Linked DNA regions of Kluyveromyces lactis. The protein of the gene in region 1 purifies or fractionates together with the protein of each later gene. This does not show direct contact. Links are inferred from orthologs where the notes say so. Each region holds a gene or a part of one and is shown on either strand. Other genes may lie near its edges.

What was found.
Region 2: the proteins of YTM1 (region 1) and SPB1 purify together in Saccharomyces cerevisiae (affinity purification with mass spectrometry, with the first as the bait; 3 studies listed by BioGRID). This does not show direct contact. The link is inferred for Kluyveromyces lactis from reciprocal best matches to the Saccharomyces cerevisiae genes YTM1 and SPB1.

What each region holds. Positions count from the first base shown.
Region 1 is NC_006039.1:647,171-650,541, reverse strand, and holds YTM1 (Ytm1p), read left to right. Parts: upstream 1-1,534; coding exon 1,535-2,869; downstream 2,870-3,371. Other genes in the region: FSF1 (Fsf1p), read right to left, coding at 1-424; KLLA0_C07403g (uncharacterized protein), read right to left, coding at 2,987-3,371. UniProt on the Saccharomyces cerevisiae protein: Component of the NOP7 complex, which is required for maturation of the 25S and 5.8S ribosomal RNAs and formation of the 60S ribosome.
Region 2 is NC_006039.1:51,877-56,204, forward strand, and holds SPB1 (27S pre-rRNA (guanosine2922-2'-O)-methyltransferase), read left to right. Parts: upstream 1-1,311; coding exon 1,312-3,813; downstream 3,814-4,328. Other genes in the region: KLLA0_C00715g (uncharacterized protein), read right to left, coding at 1-311; PBN1 (Pbn1p), read right to left, coding at 3,902-4,328. UniProt on the Saccharomyces cerevisiae protein: Required for proper assembly of pre-ribosomal particles during the biogenesis of the 60S ribosomal subunit. Specifically methylates the guanosine in position 2922 of the 25S rRNA at the stage of 27S pre-rRNA maturation.

The DNA.
Region 1 (3,371 bases):
TGGACATAGGATGAGATTTGTTTGCATTGGCCCCATTAACAGCAACATTCAATGATTGATTAGCCCATTGCCAGAACAGGGTACCAGCGGTACCCATATTAGGAGTTAACATACCAGCAGTAACTATCAGATTTGAGGGCACACAACAGGACATACGGAATGGGAGAAACACAGTTTCACCAGTATCAGGATGAACAGTAGAATCTAGCTGTTTCTTTGCATGCCAGAACTCAGGCGTCGTTTCTTTCAACTCTCCATGGCGATATGCACTGATGATTTTGCGAGCTTGTTGAAGATCATCACTGCTCGTTAACAACATCGTTGGATCAGAAATCTCTGCGCAGTGACGAACACGTCCCCAATAGGTGCTTAGATCATAACGAGATTCTGGTAGGGCAATTGGACCTGGGACACTGGATGCCATGATAAGCTGTACTCAAGTGTATCGAAGTCTTTTGGATGAGCTGAGCTTCTACGAGACAAACACGACTTTGTTCTTGCTTAATTACTTTCGAGATGAGATGACTCTTTAGATATAAATGCATTATTCTCTCGAGCTTGCATTTTTTTTTTTCATTCTGCAGCGTCAGAATGATACGTACGGCGTTACAAAGCTGCTGGAATTCTGATAAGAAAAAAGACAGTAATTATTGATCTAGCAATAGGTTATTATAATTCTCTTATTCTCGGAGAAACTGTACTAGTGAAACGATGATGATTCCAACCACTTCGATTTCCAATTTAGCAATAACATATTTGTCTTTGCCCTAATCATATTCTTAACATGTCTAAAGGTAATATGATAATTTACCCGGACAACTAATTTTCTCTGCCTGAAAAAAAAAAAGAACAGACATCCAGTATAAATTGAGAAGCTTTTCACCTTGAGAAAAAGACAAGGTTAAAGCAAGTACTCTAAGTTAATCAAATTCGAGTCGACTGTTCTTTTGATTATTTGGCTTAAAAAAGTGATACGAAACATATTAATGCCTTCTATTCACTGTGCCATCTGATACACCGTAGATGAACAGAGGGGAAAAGAACGGCTAGATGAAAATTCTATCCGCGAGCGTACCTCATACTGATTAAAGTACTTAACTATTTTTCATCAATTGGCTTTAATTGGTAGCTGCGTGAGCGGGACATTCTCTATCTCTTGTCACTCCTGAATTTACTTATACTTGTATATACCATATATTACTCGTGAAAATGTTTAGTATTACACGGTCATTAGTCTGTCACTTAGCTATTGGTGTACTGACTAATTTCCACTACCCGGTTCCTTAAAACATATACACGTGACTGGCATTTATTTCTGGCGGATTTCTTTTTCGAGCAGTGGTTTGTTTCCCAAAAATTTTCCAAGCTCATCGCATCTTACAACGCTTAGAAAATGTACAAGATAGGAAGAATAGAGTTAACGCGCTCCATCGTACCTCAGTAACAACGTGCGATCACAATCTATTAGACAATTCAAACTAGAATTCACTGGAAGAATATCTTAGTTATAAGGAGAAGTAAACTGTAGGGGAATATGTCAACAGATAAGACTCAGGTGAAGCTACGCTTCTTTACTCGTGAAGAAGATGAGACTTTACATGTCAATGATGCTCCAATCTATGCTCCAGTTAGTCTAAAGAGATATGGTCTTTCTGAAATTGTTAATCACCTACTGGAATTACCTAAATCTATGCCATTTGATTTCCTTATCGATGGTGAACTTTTGAGAACATCGTTGCAGGACTATTTGATCAAGAAAGGTTTATCATCGGAAACCTTTTTGAATGTTGAATATACTAGAGCAGTGCTACCACCTTCATATTTGTCTAGTTTTGATAACGAAGATTGGGTAAGCTCATTGGATGTCGGAAGCAATTACATCTACAGTGGTTCCTATGACGGTATCGTAAGAACGTACAACTTGTCAGGGAAAGTCGAAAAACAATACAGTGGTCATTCTGGCCCTATTCGTGCTGTGCATTACATTTCTAGTACGAGATTGGTGTCCGCAGGGAATGATCGCACTCTACGTCTGTGGAAAACGAAGAATGATGATTTGAAATCAATTGATGAAGAAGAAATTGAGGATGGTAAGACATTGGCCATCTTGGAAGGTCATAAAGCCCCTGTAGTGTCCATTGATGTTTCGAAAGACCGTATTCTATCTGCATCATGCGATAATACGGTGAGCTTGTGGTCCACGAATTATAAAGAGATGACTGTCATTGATCCGATGGAGGATTTAGGAGGCAACGTGTCTACTGCAGCCAAGAAGAGGAGAAAGTTGACTCTAAAAGATGGATCTATCAGAAGAAGAGCCCCTTTGGCTCTTTTTGAATCTCACAGTGCTCCAGTAGAGGCTGTCATTTTCGATAAATCGGATGATACTGTTGGGTATTCCGTGTCACAAGATCATACTATAAAAACATGGGATCTGATAACGGCAAAATGTGTCGATACAAAGACGACATCGTACTCACTTCTTTCTGTTGCGCAACTACCAAAATTAAATCTCTTAGCATGCGGGTCGAGTGCCAGACACATTACTCTTCATGATCCTCGTGTAAATTCTTCATCTAAAATCACCCAACAGCAGCTTGTAGGTCACAAGAACTTCGTTGTCGCTTTGGATACTTGTCCAGAAAATGAATATATGATATGCTCTGCATCTCACGATGGAACTGTCAAGGTTTGGGATGTTAGGTCTAACACTGCAATGTACACTATCACCAGAGAAGATAAAAATGTTGTTAAAGGTGTCAATGATAAAGTGTTTGCTGTCAAATGGGCTAAAGGCGTAGGTATCATCAGCGGTGGTCAAGACAAAAAAATTCAAATTAATAAAGGTGATAATATATTTAGTAACTAATCGTAATTTTATATATTATATACAGGAATTATGCTCACTAGTTCACTTAAATATAAAAGAAATGTACCACAAAAAATGTTGAGAAACAACATAGTATTTGCAGGGTTCTAATGTTAATTATCTTTTTAGTTCCGAATGGAATTTGGCTAGACCATAAAACCCTTGGAATAAGGATTCGTAGTCTGTTAGGTAACCATTCAAATTTTTAACATCAACCTGGTTGGAATGATCTTCCCATCCACGTAATTTACGTAGTCTTGCTAGCTCATCGTATGTGAATTGTACTAGTGGTCTAGTTCCGTATTTCAACGGTCCAACATTAACCCAGTGTAAACGTCCTGTACAATTGTTAGAAAGCATCTCAATAGCATTGAAGTAATCAAACATGTTTGCTGCTGTGTCAATAAAGAATGCAGAACATACTATTATATTTTTGTATTTTTTCTCTGGTTTATAGCAGCAAAAGTCACCGAAAAGTACTGTTAAGTTCTCTGGCTTTTGG
Region 2 (4,328 bases), about 600 kb from region 1:
CGAGGAGAGTAAGTGGATGCAATTGTCCAAAAGGCCATTAAAATTGGGATAGCAAACAGTACGGCAAAGAACAAGAAGGTTTTGAGACCTCCCCCAACTTTCCTTGTTACATAGTAAGGAATACCACCGAGCAAGGAGAATAATAACCAATTGGAAAAGTGTCTGGAAGAAGGTCCCTCTGCAGGCAATGGAGCGTTCTTAATAGCTGGTGATGCTGTCGTTTTCACGCCATATTTGGAATTCACTGGTTCAGGAGTTTCCGCCGGAGGAGTCTCCTTAAACTGAATCGTTTCAAATGAATACTTACTCATCTTCCCGTGTATTCAACGCAGTGGATACTAGATTGATATCTTGCGCAATTGAATTAAACAATACTTTATGTACAAGTATCTCATACAACCATAAATTAATCAAGTAAGTAAGTACTTGAAAGGATTTTTGATTTTTGCAGTTTTATTTTGGAATGCTTTTCTTCTTCCTTTTTTCTCTGTCTGTAACGTGTATCGTTCTACTGGCTGGAATGTACAATACGCAGATATTCTGGCCAAATATAGTGATACTGAACCCGGATGAATTAGGCTATATATACACCTACGTATAAGCGGGAACCATTATGTTGTGTGATAATTGGATATAAGATTGCAGTTACTGCCAATGGACCGAGAGGGCCATAGAATGCATCTCTATTTCGAGAGGCGGTCATAAATTTATTTAGCCTATGGTATGATCAGCAGTAGCAATAGTAGTAACTACCCATACCTATAATCTTGCAGAAATATTATAAGCATCGGTACCCTTATAGCCTGAGAGCGTTGCATAATTATTTGTAAACGTTGGCAGTGCTAATGGTTGAAAAAAAACCGAAATCATATTCCTTATTTAAAACTGTGGAACGCTAAGGGCCCTCTATATAAGTCTTGTGTTGTTACAGTAATATCAATATCCATGATAACACGTCCAAACAGATTTTTTACTGCTCGTTATTTTAACAGTGGAAACCGTGCATAGCATCAAAGCTGGCAGTTCCTCCAGTACAGTGTCCGGTGTTTCCATACCTGGTACCGCGAGCATTCTTAACCCGAACACCGCATCCAAAATTATTTCTTTTTCAGATAATTTTTCATTATTTGTGAGAAGAGTGACAATTTTTTATTTGAGAAATTGGTCTAGCGATGAGATGAGATGAGATGAGATGAGAAGAGATTAGTTGAACGTTGAACAGGTTACAACTGTTGTTTATTTGCTTTCTGATATCCTGTTCTCTTTTAGACTTGAGTGAATAGGTCACCATACATTACCGAGAAGACCAAGATGGGTAAGAAGACGCAAAAGAAGAATTCCAAAGGTCGTTTAGATAAGTACTATTACCTTGCTAAGGAAAAGGGCTACAGAGCTCGTTCTTCCTTCAAAATCATTCAAATCAATGAAAAGTATGGACATTTTTTGGAGAAGTCGAAGGTCGTTATCGATTTATGTGCTGCACCAGGTTCCTGGTGTCAAGTGGCTTCCAACTTGTGTCCTGTTAACTCCTTGATTATTGGTGTCGATATTGTTCCGATGAAAACTATGCCAAACGTTATTACTTTCCAAAGTGATATCACAACGGAAGATTGTAGATCGAAATTAAGAGGGTACATGAAGACGTGGAAAGCCGACACCGTTTTACACGATGGTGCTCCAAATGTTGGTTTGAGTTGGGCTCAAGATGCCTTCACACAGTCTCATTTAACACTGCAAGCCTTAAAATTAGCCGTTGAAAATTTAGTAGTTGGTGGTACATTTGTAACGAAGATCTTCAGATCCAAAGATTACAACAAGCTAATTTGGGTATTTCAACAGCTCTTCGAAAAGGTGGAGGCAACCAAACCTCCTGCTTCCAGAAATGTTTCTGCGGAAATTTTCGTTGTCTGCAAAAATTTCAAGGCCCCTAAGAAGTTGGATCCAAGGCTATTAGACCCAAAGGAAGTCTTTGAAGAATTACCAGATGGTCCACAAAACATGGAAGCCAAGGTTTTTAATCCAGAAAAAAAGGTCAGAAAAAGAGGTGGTTACGAGGAAGGTGATTATTTGTTATACCATGAAACTGGTCTTATGGACTTTATGAAATCAGAAGACCCAATAACTATGCTTGGAGAATATAATAAATTCATCGTAGACGAAGAAGATCATGACTGGAAAATTGTGAAGAAATTAAAGCAAACCACCAAAGAATTCTTGGCATGTATCGAAGATTTAAAGGTTCTTGGTAGAAAAGATTTCAAGATGATCCTAAAATGGAGAAAAGCAGCTAGAGAACTTTTAGGCTTGGATGAAGAGGAAGAAAAACCAGAGATTGAGGAAACACCTTTGACAGAAGAAGAGCAGATTGAAAAAGAACTAAATACTCTACAGGAGAAACAAAGGTTGTCTGTTAAGCGTGAGAAGAGAAAGAAGAACGAAATGAAACAGAAGGAAATTGTTCGTATGCAATTAAATATGATCAATCCAGTAGACATTGGTATCGAAGCTGCAGAGTTAGGTAGAGAATCAATTTTCAATTTGAAAACTGCAGAAAAAACGGGTATCCTTGATAAACTTGCCAAGGGTAAGAGAAGAATGATATTTGATCAAAATGAATTAGCCATAGATAACGATATCCACATTGATGAAAATGCGCCTCTGGATGATCGTGATGAGCTCGCTGAGGCTGATGAACTAGAATCCCAACTTGATGCCATGTACAGTAACTATAAGGAACGCAAGTCAGAAAGAGATGCAAAGTTTAGAGCTAAGCAAGCCCGTGAATCCAGTGAAGCGGACAACTGGAATGGATTCGAGGACAAACAAAGTGATGAAGAGAACGAAGAAGAAACTAAGGATTATGTTGACGACGATGACAACTCGGATCTTTCAGACTCTGACGATGATGAAGCTATCAATCAGTTGATAGCAAAATTGAAAAGTAGAGAAAACAGCAGCAAGTTAAGTTCTAAAGCTCGCGCGCTATTTTCCGATTCTTTATTCGAGGGAGTTGAACCAGATTTACCTGGTAAGGCGGATCTTGCGGATTCAGAGTCTGTGGGTGATGTCAAACAACTAACAAAGAAAAGAAAATTGAATCCACTTCCTGCAGAGCAGATTTCTGAAGCCGAATCTTCCGACGAAGATAGTGATTTCGAAATCGTCGCAAACAACGAAGATGGCGATGTAGACTCTGAGTATGATTCCGAAGAAGAGGCAAAGAGGACAAAACAAGAGAAACATTCCAAAGACATTGATATTGCGACCGTTGAAGCTATGACTCTAGCTCATCAATTGGCATTAGGTCACAAAACGAAACATGATTTAATCGAAGAGGGTTTCAATAGATATTCTTTCCGTGATATGGAAAACCTGCCCGAATGGTTCGTTGAAGAAGAAAAACAACATTCCAAAATTAATAAGCCTATCACCAAAGAAGCAGCCATGGCAATAAAGGATAAACTGAAGGCTCTAAATGCCAGACCCATCAAAAAAGTTGCTGAAGCTAAAGCCAGGAAGAAGCACCGTGCTGTTGCTCGTTTAGAAAAGTTGAAGAAGAAGGCTGGTCTAATTAATGATGACAGCGATAAATCTGAAAAGGACAAGGCTGAAGAAATTGCAAAATTGATGAGAAAGGTTACCAAGAAAGCAAAGCAAAAACCGAAGGTCACAGTTGTGGTTGCAAGTGGTAAGAATAGAGGTCTTTCCGGCAGGCCTAAGGGTGTTAAGGGTAAATATAAGATGGTTGACGGTGTTTTAAAGAACGAACAAAGGGCTTTGAAACGTATCGCTAAAAAGCATCACAAAAAATAAGGAATGCTAATCATATCACTTAATCCGTGAAATGGAATTGTACATTATATTTAGTCGTAGATAGAATATTGAATAAGATCAACCTACTTCAAAAAAGTTTTCTGATCAAATACAAAACAGAAAAGAGCACCAATCCCAAGGTAAACAGCTGAATACATAAGTTATCAGATGAGTCTAGTTTCGGAAGGTTAATTGTCATTTTAGTAGAATTTAGATAGTAAAATTTGGTGTTGTCAGTGAAAAAGTGTTCATATCCGATTTTTCCAGTATAGAAGGGTGACCGTTTCGTAAGTTCAATGGAAGTATCACAGGCATAAAATACTTGGGGAGTAAATGCTGCTTCAAAAAAAGCAGATCCATCGTTCGTTGGCTTGATATATCTACTGTGCAATGTAACCTCATTAATGGAGCCAGGTTGCAAGGTGAATAAACTTATGGATCCAAATCCAGATAGCTTGTACTCGGGCAGTTCAAGATCGTGTTCTCCGAACAAGAGTGTTGGAATTGACTGGAAT